Callithrix jacchus: one gene and its partner. The protein of the gene in region 1 purifies or fractionates together with the protein of each later gene. This does not show direct contact. Links are inferred from orthologs where the notes say so. Each region holds a gene or a part of one and is shown on either strand. Other genes may lie near its edges.

Region 1 (7,864 bases):
GCCTGAAGCTACTGCTGACTCTCCAGGCTAAGTGTATGCTCCCAGCTCTGTGACACTTTTGTTTTAAATATGCAAAGACTGAAGTCTGTCATCTCTGAGAGGCAAAGCACCTAGCTTTTTCCCTACACTTTTCCCCCACTCGTCAAGTCACCAGCTGCATTGAATGTCAGCCTATATTCACGGCCACAGGGCGAGGCACCAAAAAGCATTCCTGACAATGCCATTTGCAGCTGGGCCCGCATCCGGGGGAAAATAGAGATGCTGAAGAGTAAACCGAAATTGCTTAGTCAGCAACTGTCGCCTCCCCAAGAGGTGAATGTAAATAGCCTGGTACTGAGGGGGAGGGGCAGCCAGGCAGCTCAGGGCCTTTCCCACAGGCCAGCTCCCAGGGCTTTCAAAGGCACTAGGATTTTCGTTCTGTATTGGAGGTAGGGAGGGTGTCCCTTACGTCGGAGTTGTGTGGCCTTAGCCCTAGAAAGACAAACTTGCTGACTCGGCGCAGAATTAATATCAATTGAATTTATTACAAGTTACTAAGCTCCAAGGCACATTACAGTGTTCTGTTAACTACAGAAATGTATAAAGGACAAACAGAGCAGATTCTCCATGTCTAGCATTTCGCTCTACTGTTCAAAAGCATCCGTGCATCAAGAAAGCAAAAACAAAACAACACGTGTAGATCCAACACATTCAGGTCAGTAGAAACAAACCAAAGCATTTTCCCCTCACAAACTTGCAACAAAAAACACCCCGTCCCCCCCACACCCCCCTTACCATTTTGCAAACAAAACAGAAAAACGAAACAAAAACAGAACAAAATAAAGTGAAGACTTCAACACTTGGGGCAGTTTAGAAGGAAGCTTTCACCATTTTATAGCATCATTTTTTTTTTTTTTTTTTTTTTTTTTTTTAGGCAGCAACACTGGCCTTGGCAAAAAAAAAAAAAAAAAAAAAAGTCTTTTTCTTGTGTCTGTTTCTCCTTTCAGAGAGTGCATAACATTTACAAAAATACACACCAGCAGCAGTCGTTGCTAAGGGCTATTAATTCTGTACCTAGGCAAACATTCTGCCACCAAATAAATGCTAACGAATATGATGCAAACGACCCAACCAATATGATACTGCTTAACACAAACCAGCTTATCCTTCAAATGAAGAAGTTACATACCTTTGTTTCAAAATATAGAAACATACGACGAAAATAATGTCTATACATAAGACTAACTTTTTGCAGTTTTGTTATATTCACAATTCTACATCTTGGGGGTGAGGGAAGGGAAGGTCGAGGTGGGTGGGGGTGGGGCCCTCAGGATTGGAGAGGAGCTGGTCTGGGGCAAAGGAGGTGGCTGCCCGGTGGTTCAAGGGTCTCTCTCCTTTTTCACTTTAACATCCCCAGCTAAGATAGTCGCGATTTCGCCTTGCATGAAGGCCCAAGGTACATTCGACCCGACTAGGGGGCATTTCTCTCCGCTGGGGCAATACACCTCGCCGGTGGCCCCCTGGGCCTTGATACTCTCTCTAGAGCAAGGGAAGCAAAATTTGTGGCTGGGGACGGATGGGCACTGAACGAAATGCGTGTCCTCCAAACGTTCGTGGCAAATGGTGCAGCAGAGGGGTCCGCTGTTGGCCATGGGGGAATCCGGAATGTTCTGGGGATGCACTTGGTCCATGCCCGGATGGGCGCTAGGCGGCGGGGGCGCCACCTGTAAATTCAGGTCCCCGTTACGTGATGCCAAGCGGCGCTGGCCCGGCACGGAGGCCGGCGAGACTGGGCTGCTGCTGTTGCGCCGCGCGGACGCAGTGGTAGAGTGCACGGAACTGCCATCCTTGGGCGAGTGCGCAGTGCCCAGAGTATCTGCCACCGACATGAGGGCAGCCATGGGGGATGGACCGTTCTGGGGGGCTGACTCAGGTGGGGTGGTCCGGTTGGAATGGGGTCCCAGAGGTGGGGGCGGCGGAGGCGGACCCCCTGTCGCGTGCCCCGGCGCCGCGAAGCCCCCGGCGGACATGGTGAGCTTCAGCGCCTCGCTCTGGTTCGCCATCCACTGCTGCCTCTGCTGCTCCTCACCCAGCTTCAGCGCGCCCTCGGCTGGGTCCGGGGGCTCGGGAGAGGCCTTCCTCTTGCGCAGGCTGGCGGCTGCGCCCCGGCCCGAGGTCGCGGTGGACGGCAGGGCCCCGGTACCCGGGGGTGCGCTAGGGGCGCGGCTCAGACTCACCAGTGCTGTGGGTAGCATGGGGCAGCTAGCGTCCAGGTAGGGCTGGGGCAGCATGTCGGCGCCAGGCACGCCCTCCTTGAAGAAGCGCACGGCCTCGGGCAGCAGGTCCCCAAGCAGGCGCCAGTCCCCGGAGCCGTGCTTCTTTTCGTACTCCAGGTACTTGAAACCCGAGGACAGGCCCCGGCCGAAGTCCTTCATGCAGTCCTGGTACATCTGCTTGGCCACACCAGACGCACTGGAGTACACGTTGCCCGAGCCCGTGGGGTACTCAATGAACAGCTTCAATTCGTAGTCCATGCCGGGCTTGGAGACGGCGTCGAAGGCGAAAACGCGGCCCAGCAGCGAGTGGTCCTTCTTGAAGCGAACCTCGTAGGGCGTACAGCCCGCCAGCGTGAGCAGCGTGTCTCGGACCATCTTGGGCTTGTTGGCCCACTCCTCGGCGCGGTTGCGCAGGCTCTCGCTCAACTCGGCCAGGGCCTCGGCGTTGCGCTGCTTCTCCTTCAACTCGCGCTCCTGGTCCATGCTCGATACCGAGCCGGGCCTTTTGCCACCAGCACCCACGCCCACCTCCGCCACCGACGAAGAGGTCGAAGACGACGCGGACGACGTGGCCGATACACCCGGGTTACCCCCGAGACAAGCGGGGCCCCCGGGAGCCCCTGGGGGAGCAGGCGTCGGGGGCCCACGGCTGCCTAGCGCATGAGGCGGGGGTGGGGGGAGGACCGCGGCGCTGGCCGGGCCGTTAAGCAGTGTCTGCGGTAGCAGGTTGGGGGGCACGGTGAGCTGGGGACCTCCGCCACCCCCCGGATTGGGCAGCCCCGTCACCAGCCCACCGTGCGTCCCACGCCGGGACGCCACCGATGCCGCCGCTGAAGAAGAGTTGGGGCTCTGGCGATTCAGCTCTGGGGGTCCCTCCTCCGGTGCTGGTTTGGGGAAGCCGTTTGGGCCCCCCAGGCCGTTGGGCAGCCGCGCGGCGTGGCTGCTGCTTCCCAGGCTCACCGGCGGTGGCGGGTACTCGAAGCGGCTGCGCTGTTCCACGGCGGCGGCGGCGGCGGCGGCGGCGGCTGCGGCCGCGCTCAGGCCATAGCGCTCTAGGCCAGACGGGGCCGCCAGCACCGCAGGTTTGCTGGGACCATCTACGTGGTTGAGCTGCTGCTGTTGCTGCTGCTGTTGCTGCTGCTGTTGTTGTTGCTGCTGCTGCTGCGCGGCGGCCGCCGCCGCTGCCGCCGCTGCCGCGGCCGCTTCCTTAGCCGACAGGGCCACCGTCTTGACCCCGACGGGCGGCGGCGGCCCGGGGGAGCGGCCGTCCTGGAAGCAGCCGTGCGCCCGCTTCAGCTGGCGCGCGGTCTCGATCACGAACTCGATGCGATCGGCGCCCTCGTAGTTGACGCAACCGCGGCATACGGGTTCCGAGAAGTCCCAGATCATGGCCCAGGGCATGCGGGGCAGGTCGCACAGGTAACAAGATTGTCTCCGGGACGAGGACACCTGCGCCGCCGACATGATGCCTGCCCTGGGGAAGGTAGGCCCCCGCCCGGGCTGTCTCTGCGGCGCCTTCTCCTCCGGGAGGACTGGCCGGCTGGGGAGGGAGTCCGACTGCGGGGGAGGGAGGAGGGGGGCGAGAAAGTTCTGCCCCAGGGGCTGGAGGGCGCGCGAGTCTCCACCGCCGGCGCAGCGCCTCGCCGTGGGGCTCCACTGACCGGGCGGAGGACGGGTTCAGCCCGCTCTTCGCCCCCACCTCCTACTGCGGATGTCTCGTCGCGAGGGGAGCTCAGGAGCCTTCTTCCTGGTGCCGCGGACTTGGGCTGGAAGCTCCGGGCCCGAGGGGAGGGGGCGAGGGTGCCCGGTGCTGGCCGCCGTTGCCTCTTGGCCCCCTCCCCGGAGTGGCGGGTGCGTGGAAGCTCGAAAGGGGATGTCTCTTCCTTTCCCCGGGGGCCCCCCTACGAGCTGCGTCCTCTCCCCGACGGGCCCCCTGGGGCGAGGGCTAGAGAGTTCAGTGCCACCCGCTGCCCGGGTCCAATCTTGCTGAAGCCGCTGCTTCCCCGGAGGGCCGGGGGAGGGGGTGGTAGCCGAGAAAGGACCTTCTCCCCTCCGTGGCGTCGGCCGTTCCGCTGGCAACGGCTGGGTTTGCACCCAGGAGGGAGCCGCCGCGGCCACTGCTTCCAGGACGCACGAAAGCAGAGGAGAGGAGGGCACGCACGCAGGCTCCCGCCGCCCCCAGGCCTGGCCGGCGCCCGGGCCGCCGCGGCTGGCGGCGCTCACGTTGGCTGCAGGGCGCTCGCGCGGCGCCTCGGCCCGGGTCGCATCCCTTCCCGCTCGTGCTCGCGCTCGCCCGGAATGTGGGGTTGTGATTGTTACTCTACGTTCCGGAGGCGCGTCTCGGCGCTCCTGCTCCGGCTGCGGCTCGCGCTGTCCCCGGCTTGGCCGCGCGGGATGCCGCCCGGGCGGAGCGCTGACGTCACCGCCATGCTCTGCACCAGTTCTCCCCCCCTTTACACTTCCTCTGTGGAGCCCACTTGTTGCTCGGGAAAGGCGCATGCGCGGCAGGACGCCCAGATTCCTCCCAGCCGGCCCCTCCTCCGCGCCTCCGCCCTCCCCTCCCCCTCGCCGTGTGTGTACAACAGCTGAGGCCCGGCGAGCTAATGCTGGAAGTCCAGAGCTGGGGGTGGAAATTAAACAGATGATGACCTTTCCTTTCCCTGCCCGGCATTCCCAAGTAAAAACGCATTTAAGAACCAGTAGCGTCGCTTCCGATCCCTGCTCCCCACCCCCAAGCCCTGGCAGTGAATTTAAATGCCCTGTTTCGGGATTTTTCGTCGTGAATTTCGTATAAGGTATTAACCATTTCATCTGCGATCAAACCTTATCCCACCTGGCATGGATGTTACATTCAACGCCACCACTGATGCCGAAGCACCTGCAAACTTAGCTGTTTTCTAATCTTCCAGAAGCTGCCTTTTCTATTTGTTTTTGTGCCTTGGGTAGGAACCCAGGCTTCAACGATGGAGCTAAATTAATTCTGGGTGCGCTACCCTTCCCCCCAGCCGCACTCTAAAAATTTTGGCTGAACGTCTAAAGAAGATACGAGCACCCCGAGGCCTTTAAGGAAAGCAGTCAACTGGCTGCGCACAGCTGCAGTTGAGGGCAGGGAGGGGTAGGTGCAGGAGAGGCCAAACAGGTGAGGTTTTTCTAGCGTTTGATTTTTAAAAGGCGGGGGCAGTTTTTAATAATACTGATAACTTTGTATCTTTTTGTAAAACACAGCCGCAGTTTTTTTTTTCTTTCTTTTGTTTTTTTGGAGACGAATCTCACTCTGTCGCCCAGGCTGGAATGCAATGGCGCGATCTCGGCTCACTGCAACCTCCGCCTCCAAGGTTCAAGTGATTCTCCTGCCCTAGCCTCCCAAGTAGCTGGAACTACAAGCGCACGCTGCCACGCCAGGTTTATTTTTTCCACTGTGTTGCTGAGGCTGGTCTCGAACTCCTGAACTCAGGCAGTCGTGTCTGTGTCTTCCCCTCCCCCCGCCCGGCAAGGTGCTGGGATTTCGGGCGTCAGCCACCACACTCGGGGGGTGGGGGGGTATTTTTTGAATGGATGGATGGAGTTTTGCCATGTTGCCCAAGCTAGTCTTGATCTCCTGGGCCCAAGTGATGCACCCACGTTGGTCTCCCAAATTGTTGGTATTGCAGGCATGAGCCACCTCACCCAGCCTCAATTTGTTTCTTTTCATAATAGGAGATAACTCTTACTTAGCCTTGTTGTGAGACACTTAGTAAACTAGGTGGCTTACTTGCATCACCCTTAATATTATCTACAGTATTTAGGGGATATTATCTATAGTATTTTGTGGTGTTTGTTGATGTTTTGAGACAAAGTCTTACTCTGTTGCCCAGGCTGGAGTGAAGTGACATGATTTCGGCTCTACCTCCCAGGTTCAAGCAATTCTCCTGCCTCAGGCTCCTGAGTAGCTAGGATTACAGGCAACCACCACCACACCCGGCTAATTTTTGTATTTTTAGTAGAAAGAGTGTTTCGCCGTGTTGGCCAGGCTAGTATCGAACTCCTGACCTCAGGTGATCTTCCCTCCTCAGCCTCCCAGAGTGCTGGAATTACAGGCATGAGCCACCGCACCCAGCCTATTATACTATTAAACCCTTAATATTATCTACAGGGTAGATTCTTTTAACTCCATTTTACAAATCAGGAAAGTAAAGAGGCTATATAACTTGCCCACAGCCATTAGAGATGGAGCTATGATCTGAATCCAGTAAATATGATTTGAGAGGTGGCTTTGACAAGCTCAGGCTCACAGGTGGTTTGGGGTACTCAAAGTTCCCATCAGTCCCAGTGGATTTGATACTGCATACAATCTTATGTAAGTATTATTCAAATATACCTTCATAACCAACCCCCAGCCTCCCCTTACAAACAACAGATTTGTAACGCTGAGTTCTTTTTTTTTTTTTTTTTGAGACAGAGTCTTGTTCTGTCACCAGGCACCAGGCTGGAGTGCAGTGGCACGATATCGGCCCACTGCAACCTCCTCCTCCCGTGTTCAGTTAATTCTCCTGCCTCAGCCTCCCAAGTAGCTGAGACTACAGATGTGCGGCACCATGCCCAGCTAATTTTTGTATTTTTTAGTAGAGACAGGGTTTCACCATGTTGGCCAGGATGGTCCCGATCTCTTGACCTCATGATCTGCCCGTCTTGGCCTCCCAAAGTGGTGGGATTACAGGCATGAGCCACTGTGCCCAGCACCACTGAGTTCTATATACAGAAGCTGTAGATCTGCCACTACCAGACTGTAACCTAAATTCACCATACAGAATGGAGAGCACAGTGTCGGACTCACAGTGTTAGTTATTATTAGTATCGATACTAGGGTTGGTACTATTGCTGGTTAACATGTGACAGTACTTTCTAAATTGCATAAAATGTAAGGGTCATTATTCGTATCACTCCTATTACTAATTGCAATAAAGCTCATGGAAGCAACAAGAGATATTTATTTTTATTTTGGCCCTTCACCTCCAGAGACTCTTCCCCTATCCAACACTCCCCGGAGCTGCAATCTCCCACTCATTCTGGGGCTCCCAAGTGCAAAGGAAAGGCGAGGTGTTTTGTCCGTTTGCTTTAATTTTTTTTATAGAGATGGGGTTTCACCATGTTGGCCAGGCTGGTCTTGAACTCCTGACCTCGTGATCCACCCATCTCAACCTCCCAAAGTGCTGGGATTACAGGCATGAGCCTTGTTTTTTCTTTTAAGGCAGAGTTTCACTCTTGTTGCCCAGGCTGGAATATAATGGCACCATCTTGGCTCACTGCAATCTCCACCTCCCGGGTTCAAGTGATTCTCCTGTCTCGGCCTCCCAAATACCTGGGATTATAGGTGCATGCCACCAAACCTGGCTAATTTTTGTATTTTTAGTAGAGACAGGGTTTCATCATATTGGTTAGGCTGGTCTCGAACACCTGACCTCAGGTGATCTGCCTGTCTCCACCTCCCAAAGTAATGAGATTACAGGAGTGAGCCACTGCGCCTGGCCAGAAAGGTCAGTTTTTAAGCACAGAAAAGGAGGAGGAGCCCTAGGGAGCCCCGCTTTCATCTCAAAGCCAGATTTCTGTTTTTGCAAAACAGTGAGCTCACA
Region 2 (7,111 bases), on another chromosome or scaffold:
GCCTGGCTGGGCGCAGTGGCTCATGGCTGTAATTCCAGCACTTTGGGTGGTTGAGACGGGTGGATCACCTGAGGTTGTGAGTTCAAGACCAGCCTGGCTAACATGGAGACACCCCATCTCTACTAAAAATACAAAATTAGCCACACATGGTGGTGCATGCCTGTAATCCCAGCTGCTCGGGAGGCTGAGGTAGGAGAGTTACTTGAACCCGGGTGGCGGAGGTTGCCTTGAGTGGAGATCATGCCATTGCACTCCAGCCTGGGCAACGAGAGTGAAACTCCATCTCCCAAAAAAAAAAAAGACAGAAAGGCCTGTAGTTAAACTCCTGTGAGAATTGTTCAGTCTGATGGCTTTCAAATTTATTTGTCCCCAGGGTCACTGTTGGTTTTTTCAACAAATAACGTCTGACGTACATACCTTGATTTTGCTGTCTTAGTTCATCATTATGCAAATAACAGTTTCTTAGTAAATGTTGGTTAGTTGGTTGATCACTTGTTGATCATAGAATTGCATCAGTAACTAAGAGCTGGAAGGAGCATGACACATTAGCTAGTCTAGCCTCTCGTCATATGGAGGCCCAGAGACGGGAAGCATGTGCCCACATTCACCCCGTCCTAAATAAAGGAAGAGGCAAGATTGCAATGTAAGTGTCTTGTCTCCCAGACCAAATGTTTTCTTCAATTTTACTAAAATAATTTTAACCCCACCACACATACAACAGTCACCACTCCTGTCTAAAATACAGGTGTTGGGTTAGGGCCATCTAGGAAGGGGCCCCAAAGATGCATAAAGCCACACAACTGTCTGTGACCTTCTGTGCGGATTCTTTTCCTTTGCTCTAAGCCTTGTGTGAGGCTGCACAGTCTAACGAGGAAGTGTTGTCGGATTGCAGAGGCCCTGGGCTCTTGCCTCCAGCTAACCTGTTAACTGGAGGATCTTGGGTAGGTCACACTGTTTTGGGGCACAGCTTTGTTACCCATCAAATGAGGCAAATGGTGTTTCCCAGGCTCCTTCCAGTGTCAGCATCCTAAGATGCTGATGTGCTACAGCACGCATTTACCTCCATCTCCAGAGGACCTATTGGAGGCTTCTGTAACAGTCCCTGGTAAAGGACATCTGGAGTGCCTTTATGGGGCCTGTAGCCCCAGACCCAGTCCCACCCCAACCCACTGGTTAGAAATCTCCAGTGTTTTCTGAGGATTCTTGTGGAATTTTTTTCCTATGTTAGACATCAGTGATTCAGTCTTAAAGATAAGCATTGCATCCATTGGATGAACTTAAAATGCAAACAAGCACGAGAATTTTTACTAGGATGGAAACTGGGGAGGGGAGTGGGAATGTTGTTCTGAACCCAAGGGTTTTGCTCTCCGCGTCACAGTGTATGCTGTTGGAATGAGTGACAGCTCCTTTTTTGGAGTGATTTTAGTCTGTTGCTGTAGTGCTATTTCCATAGCAACTCCTGTTGCTACACAGCTGACATCTGATGAAATGATGACCACAGCTCAGGGGTACAACTCCTCATCCCCTTGCATCCCTGCCAGGAGTGTTGAGAAACCCTGGGAGAGGAGGTTCAGCCCGTGCCATTTTGATGAGGTTTGATTGGCAGTTGCTGCATTCCTGGGGGTATCATCAGGGCTTCCCAGAAAGTTAGCTGGGCTTGGGCTTCTGAAGCTTTCCCTTGGAAACACCCTCTTCTCTCTATGTGGAGGAGGAAGTATCACAAAGAAGGGAGATAATTAGAAAGGATATTTTTCTCATTTATGAAGGTATACAGATTAACACTCCCTTTTTTTTTTTTTTTTTTTTTTTTTTTAATGAAAAATTACCTGATAGGGAATACAGGCCAACCAAGATCATACCGAATTTCTGAGTGTGGCAGGCCAGTGTGGGGCCTGTGTTTTAGGTATCTCATTTAAAATGGAAAGTTCCATTTTGCTTTGGGGCCAGAATCCTTAAAAGAAATCCTGGCTGGAGGTGTATTATGGGTCACTGTATATTTGCTGGTTTATATCTTGCTGACTAAATTGGCAGAGTTTTTATTTTTCCTGGTAAATATTCAGAGGGTTTTTTCCTCACTCCTTTCTCCAACAAAATCATATTTGTCATATGTGTATGAAATAAATGACTGTGAACACTGTCCACACGTCTGTGATGATACGAAAATGAGTGGTGACAAACAAAGATTCTTTTTCTTATGTACCACAAGGCCTGAGATGACGTTGACTTTATCCTCATATTACTCTCAAACTGTGACCCAGTGGAAACAAAATGGGCCAGATCGGAGAGACCCAAATGTCCAGCACAAAAAAAGGGTTATTATTGATGAAAAATTTAGGTGCTCTCCCCATGTGACTTAGAAAGTTCGAAATTTTCTTTTAATCATTAGTCTTTTTTTTTTTGAGACAGAGTCTCACTCTCTTGCCCAGGCAGGCATGCAGTGCACTCCTTGGCTCACTGCAACCTCTGCCTCCTGGGTTCAAGCAATTCTCTGCCTCAGTTTCCCAAGTAGTTGGGATTATAGGCGTGTGCCACTATGCCCGGCTAATTTTTGTATTTTTGGTAGGGACGGGGTTTCACCATGTTGGCCAGGATGGTCTCCATCTCTTGACCTTGTGATCCACCCGCCTTGGCCTCCCAAAATGCTGGGATTACAGGCATGAGCCACCGCACCTGGCCCAATCATTAGTCTTTACAAAGTTTAGAAGGTACACAACCTTTATGAGTATGAAAGGCTATGCTTATTTTACTTCACAGCAAGGCACAAAGTGATTACCTAGTGCAAAACCTTTTAAAACAGTTACGAAAAGCGCCAGGATACCAAATCAAATGGAAATTTGGATCCTAATTTGATTGCCTAACTTTGAAAAATGTTTCAGAACTGCACCTACCTACATATTATGCTTGTGATAAGTTATATGCTGAAGTTTTGTGCTGGTAATAATCTTTTTAATGTGCAATTTTTAGTGGACTATAACAAACATTTATTTCCCATTAAATGATATATTTATATTTCTTATAACTTTAGGGAGCAAATGTTGTGAACTATTAGCCCATAAACTTTCCTCATTCTTTTAAAGTAAATAATATACCAAGAAATAATAATAATAATAAAGAACAAGCAGGAAAAGTGAGTTGGGTATGGTGATTTCATGATTGCAGTGAGGTTATTCTCCTGTCCATATGGAATGGAATACCCACACGTGAAAAGACCTTTGGTGTTTTAAATTAACTTTTGAGATTGTTTACAGCAAATGCTTTTTGCCTCCCTGCTGCTATTTGATTGCAACTCTTTATTTTAAACTCTACCCTGAAGGGCAATTGTGCTAGAAAACCGCGTTGATGTAAAATGTCTCATGCTTGGCAGCTCACCACACTCAAACCGTGTTCTGAGGATGGCAGGCGGCCCCATCCCACTGCCAAAAACTTTCCACTGGGAGCAGTTTTGCAAGGGGCTGGCTTGGCGGGCAGGGAGCCTGGGGTACTGAGATGGGGGCCTTTCTCCTGCTTGGTGACCACATCATCTCTCTCTACATAGGTGAAGCTGCTCTCAGGGGAGAACCCAGAATGCAGACCCTGCCAGTGGCCTCTGCCCTCAGCAGTCACCGAACTGGTCCTCCCCCCATCAGCCCCAGCAAGAGGAAATTCAGCATGGAGCCAGGTGACGAGGACCTAGACTGTGACAGTGACCACGTCTCCAAGATGAGTCGCATCTTCAACCCCCATCTGTGAGTTCTTCTGTTCTTATTTTGGCTTAAGGGCGCTCCGTGCTGGGACCCTGTTTGTTTTGCAACTTTGTGCTGATTCTGAAGTTACCATTTGAATACTTAATTTGTAAAGGATATTATTTATGAAGAAAAATAGCGTTTGTCTGACAAAAAGAAGGTAGTAACTCATTTTGATAACTTGTGGAGAGATGAAGTCCAACTTCCCTCCAGCGTACCTGTCGTAGGACCTTTCTCATGTTAAACTCCAAAGAAGTTAATGTCCCCTTAGAGCTTCTGCAAGTAGTCATCTGCTAAGCTTGGCTTTTCACCTCTACATACTGATTGTTTTTAGGAGAATCAGTGTTAGTGAATATCAGTATGCACCAGACAAATAGAAGGGAAGGTCAGCACCTGAGCAGATGCCTGTTAAGGTTTTACTCAGGAGTCTAGGATTGTACACGAAGAAGTGTTTGTCCCACGTTGCGTGTCCCTGGTACAATCTTGGGACCTTCCCATAAAGGGAAGCCAGCTTCCTATGCTCATACAGGTTGCCACTCATCACATCCAGCCAGTCCTTTATCTGCCACTGACACTCTACCTTCTTGACACGAATTGCTTCAACTCATTGGCCTAAGTTTCCTTGTTTGTGAAACAACAGGGGCTGAAACTACAGTTCTCTGTATCTGTGCATCATCACCACGTTTCTACTGGAAAAGCCTCCCGCTTCAATGCACTGGCTTCTCCCGTTTGTACTCTGCTCTCGGCACACACCCCGGGTGCAAAGGGATAGGCTTCTCCCCAGTTTTCAGGACTTGGAGACACCCCATCACCTGCCCAGGGAGACTGGGGACAGTGGTGAGGGCAGTTGGTGTTCTCGGAGTTGTCTTGCCAATCCTGGTGAGGCTGCACTGAGTATCGGAGGGAGTTTTGCGTGTGCAGGTACAGAGGTCCTCCCCCTTCCCTGCCCTAAGCACTCACTCCAGCATGAGTCAGTGTTTCCTCATTTTCAACATGCTCCAGTTTCTGAGGGTGCTGCTGTTTCCCCACAGGAAGGTAGAGCAGGGAAGGCTCCTCCTTGGAGGCAGAGCTTCCGCAGAGAGGTGGCCCAGCTCCCGCCTCTGCTGCCTCAGCTCCAGCGTCCTCGCATTCCGCTCGTTCCAGTCAGCTTGGACTGTTGTGTTCAGTCATAAGACACTGACAGAGGTATTTATCCTCAAATAAATCACTGCAGTGTTAGTCAGAGGCTGAGCCTGCAGTCTGGAGCCCTGGAATTTGCTACCATCAGGAATCCAGCAGGAAGGCCCTGCAAACAATGCACTCCGCAGTTAGGGCTCGCTGAACTCCTGGGTGCTCAACTGTTGCAGTTCATTCTTTTATTACCACAAATTTCTTGTTCTTTCCCATCCTTCTTTTCCAAACCCCAATACGAGCATTTGTTCTTTTTTCTTTTCTTTTTATAAGTAAGAAAGGGGAAGGCAGCCTGCAGACAAACATGCCTTAATTTAAATCCTGCTTCTGCCACACAGCAACTGTGAGGCTTTGGACAAGTCACTTAATTTAGCTGGGCCCAGTATCCTTGACGATAATAATAGTTAATGTATAGAGCTGTTATGAGGATTAGAGTTAAAATAGGCAAAGAGCTTGGCACGGTGTTGCACTCAGTTGAAGAGAGCTGTTATTTTTATTCCATTGTTCAGATACTGGTTATAATGATAAAGAAGAGTGTGTGTGTGTGTGTGTGTGTGTGTGTGTGGTGGATTTAATGTTTGATAATATATGCCTTTTAATAAAAATGACTGGGTTCAAATCTGCTTTCTTGGCATTTCATCGAAGATAATGTTGATTCCTTCCTCATAGGATTATTGTAAGGACTTAAGTACGGTGCCTGGCCGATTGTAAGCACTCAGGTTTAGTTATTATTAGAATGTTAAAACGTTTAGAAAATAATTTTGTGGCTAGGCACAGTGGCCCACACCTATAATCGTAGCACTTTGGGAGGCCGAGGTGGGTGGATCACCTGAGGCCAGGAGTTTGAGACCAGCCTAGGCAATATGGTGAAACCCTCTCTCTACTAAAAAAATACAAAAACTAGCTGGGTGTGGTGGTGGGTGCCTGTAATCCCAGCCACTTGGGAGGCTGAGGCATGAGAATCGCTTGAACCTGGAGGTGGAGGTTGCAGTGAGCCAAGTGAGACTCTGTCTAAAAACAAAAAAGGAAAATAATTTTGCAACTCTCTTGGGGGCTACAGATATGAACTTGATGTGTATGGGTCTGTGATGACGCTATAAATAATTTTAAATGTAAAGAATAGAATCGCTAATTTTTTTTTTTTTTTTTTTTTTTTGAGACAGAGCATCACTCTGCCTCCCAGGCTAGAATGCAGTGTCACAATCTCAGCTCATTGCACCCTCCACCTCCTGGGTTCAAGTGATTCTCCTGCCTCAGCCTCCTGAGTAGCTGAGACTACAGGCATGTGCCACCATGCCGGCTCATTTTTGTAATTTTAGTAGAGATGGAGTTTTGCCATGTTGGCCAGGCTGGTCTTGAACTCCTGACCTTGTGATCTGCCCGCCTTGGCATCCCAAAGTGCTGGGATTACAGATACGAGCCACGGCACCTGGCCAGAATTGCTGAATTGTATGTGAAACTCCCAATTGACATTATTATGCAAAGTTTTAGGAAAATAGAAACAGCAGTAACCCCATGTCTCAGACTCCCTTACACCAGCCAGGTGGCTCTCCCCCCATTTTTAAAATTATGGTAAAAAGTATATATATACTATAAAATGTATTTTCTTAACCATTTTTAAGTGCAGAGTATAAGTAGGAAAGGCCATCAGTGTGTGGTTAGGTCCTTCTGAGTGTTACTTGTTTACTGTGTGATAGTTACTAATTTTAGTAACATTACCATTGTTTCTACTGTATTTTCTAGGAGCCTAATGACAGATTGGAAAGATGCTGCCTATCTTACTTCTTCGTGTTGTAGGGTATTTAGTGCTGCCATTCAATGAAATATTTCCTATTGGGCTATAGTTATGTTCCCCCCTTTAGATTTAATGTCTCAGAAGTTATCTGTAGTACATTTCAGATTCATAATTATTTGAAAAGGAATAGTCTAGTGTATTTGCCTCTTTAAGGAGATCCCAAAATGGGTTTTGTGCTTTATCTTCTTAGAGTTTGTTAATGACATGTAATGAAAATACGATTTATTTGATCACTAAAGCAATCACAAGAATTCTGGGGAAAGGAGTGTTATTGGAAAAGAGTTTTGGCTGGGTGTGTTAGCTCATGCCTGTAATCCCAGCATTTTAGGAGGCTGGGGCAGGCAGATTGCTTGAGTCCAGGAGTTCGGGCAGCAAGACCCCATCTCTAAAAAAAAAATTTTTAAATTAGCTTGACCTGGAGGAG

The links.
Region 2: the proteins of IRF2BPL (region 1) and VGLL4 purify together in Homo sapiens (affinity purification with mass spectrometry; 3 studies listed by BioGRID and IntAct, counting the BioPlex papers as one, with this or other methods). This does not show direct contact. The link is inferred for Callithrix jacchus from reciprocal best matches to the Homo sapiens genes IRF2BPL and VGLL4.

What each region holds. Positions count from the first base shown.
Region 1 is NC_133509.1:111,954,079-111,961,942, forward strand, and holds IRF2BPL (putative E3 ubiquitin-protein ligase IRF2BPL), read right to left. Parts: upstream 4,634-7,864; 5' UTR 3,720-4,633; coding exon 1,359-3,719; 3' UTR 505-1,358; downstream 1-504. UniProt on the Homo sapiens protein: Probable E3 ubiquitin protein ligase involved in the proteasome-mediated ubiquitin-dependent degradation of target proteins. Through the degradation of CTNNB1, functions downstream of FOXF2 to negatively regulate the Wnt signaling pathway.
Region 2 is NC_133516.1:68,809,063-68,816,173, reverse strand, and holds part of VGLL4 (transcription cofactor vestigial-like protein 4), read left to right. Parts: intron 1-3,535; coding exon 3,536-3,725; intron 3,726-7,111. UniProt on the Homo sapiens protein: May act as a specific coactivator for the mammalian TEFs.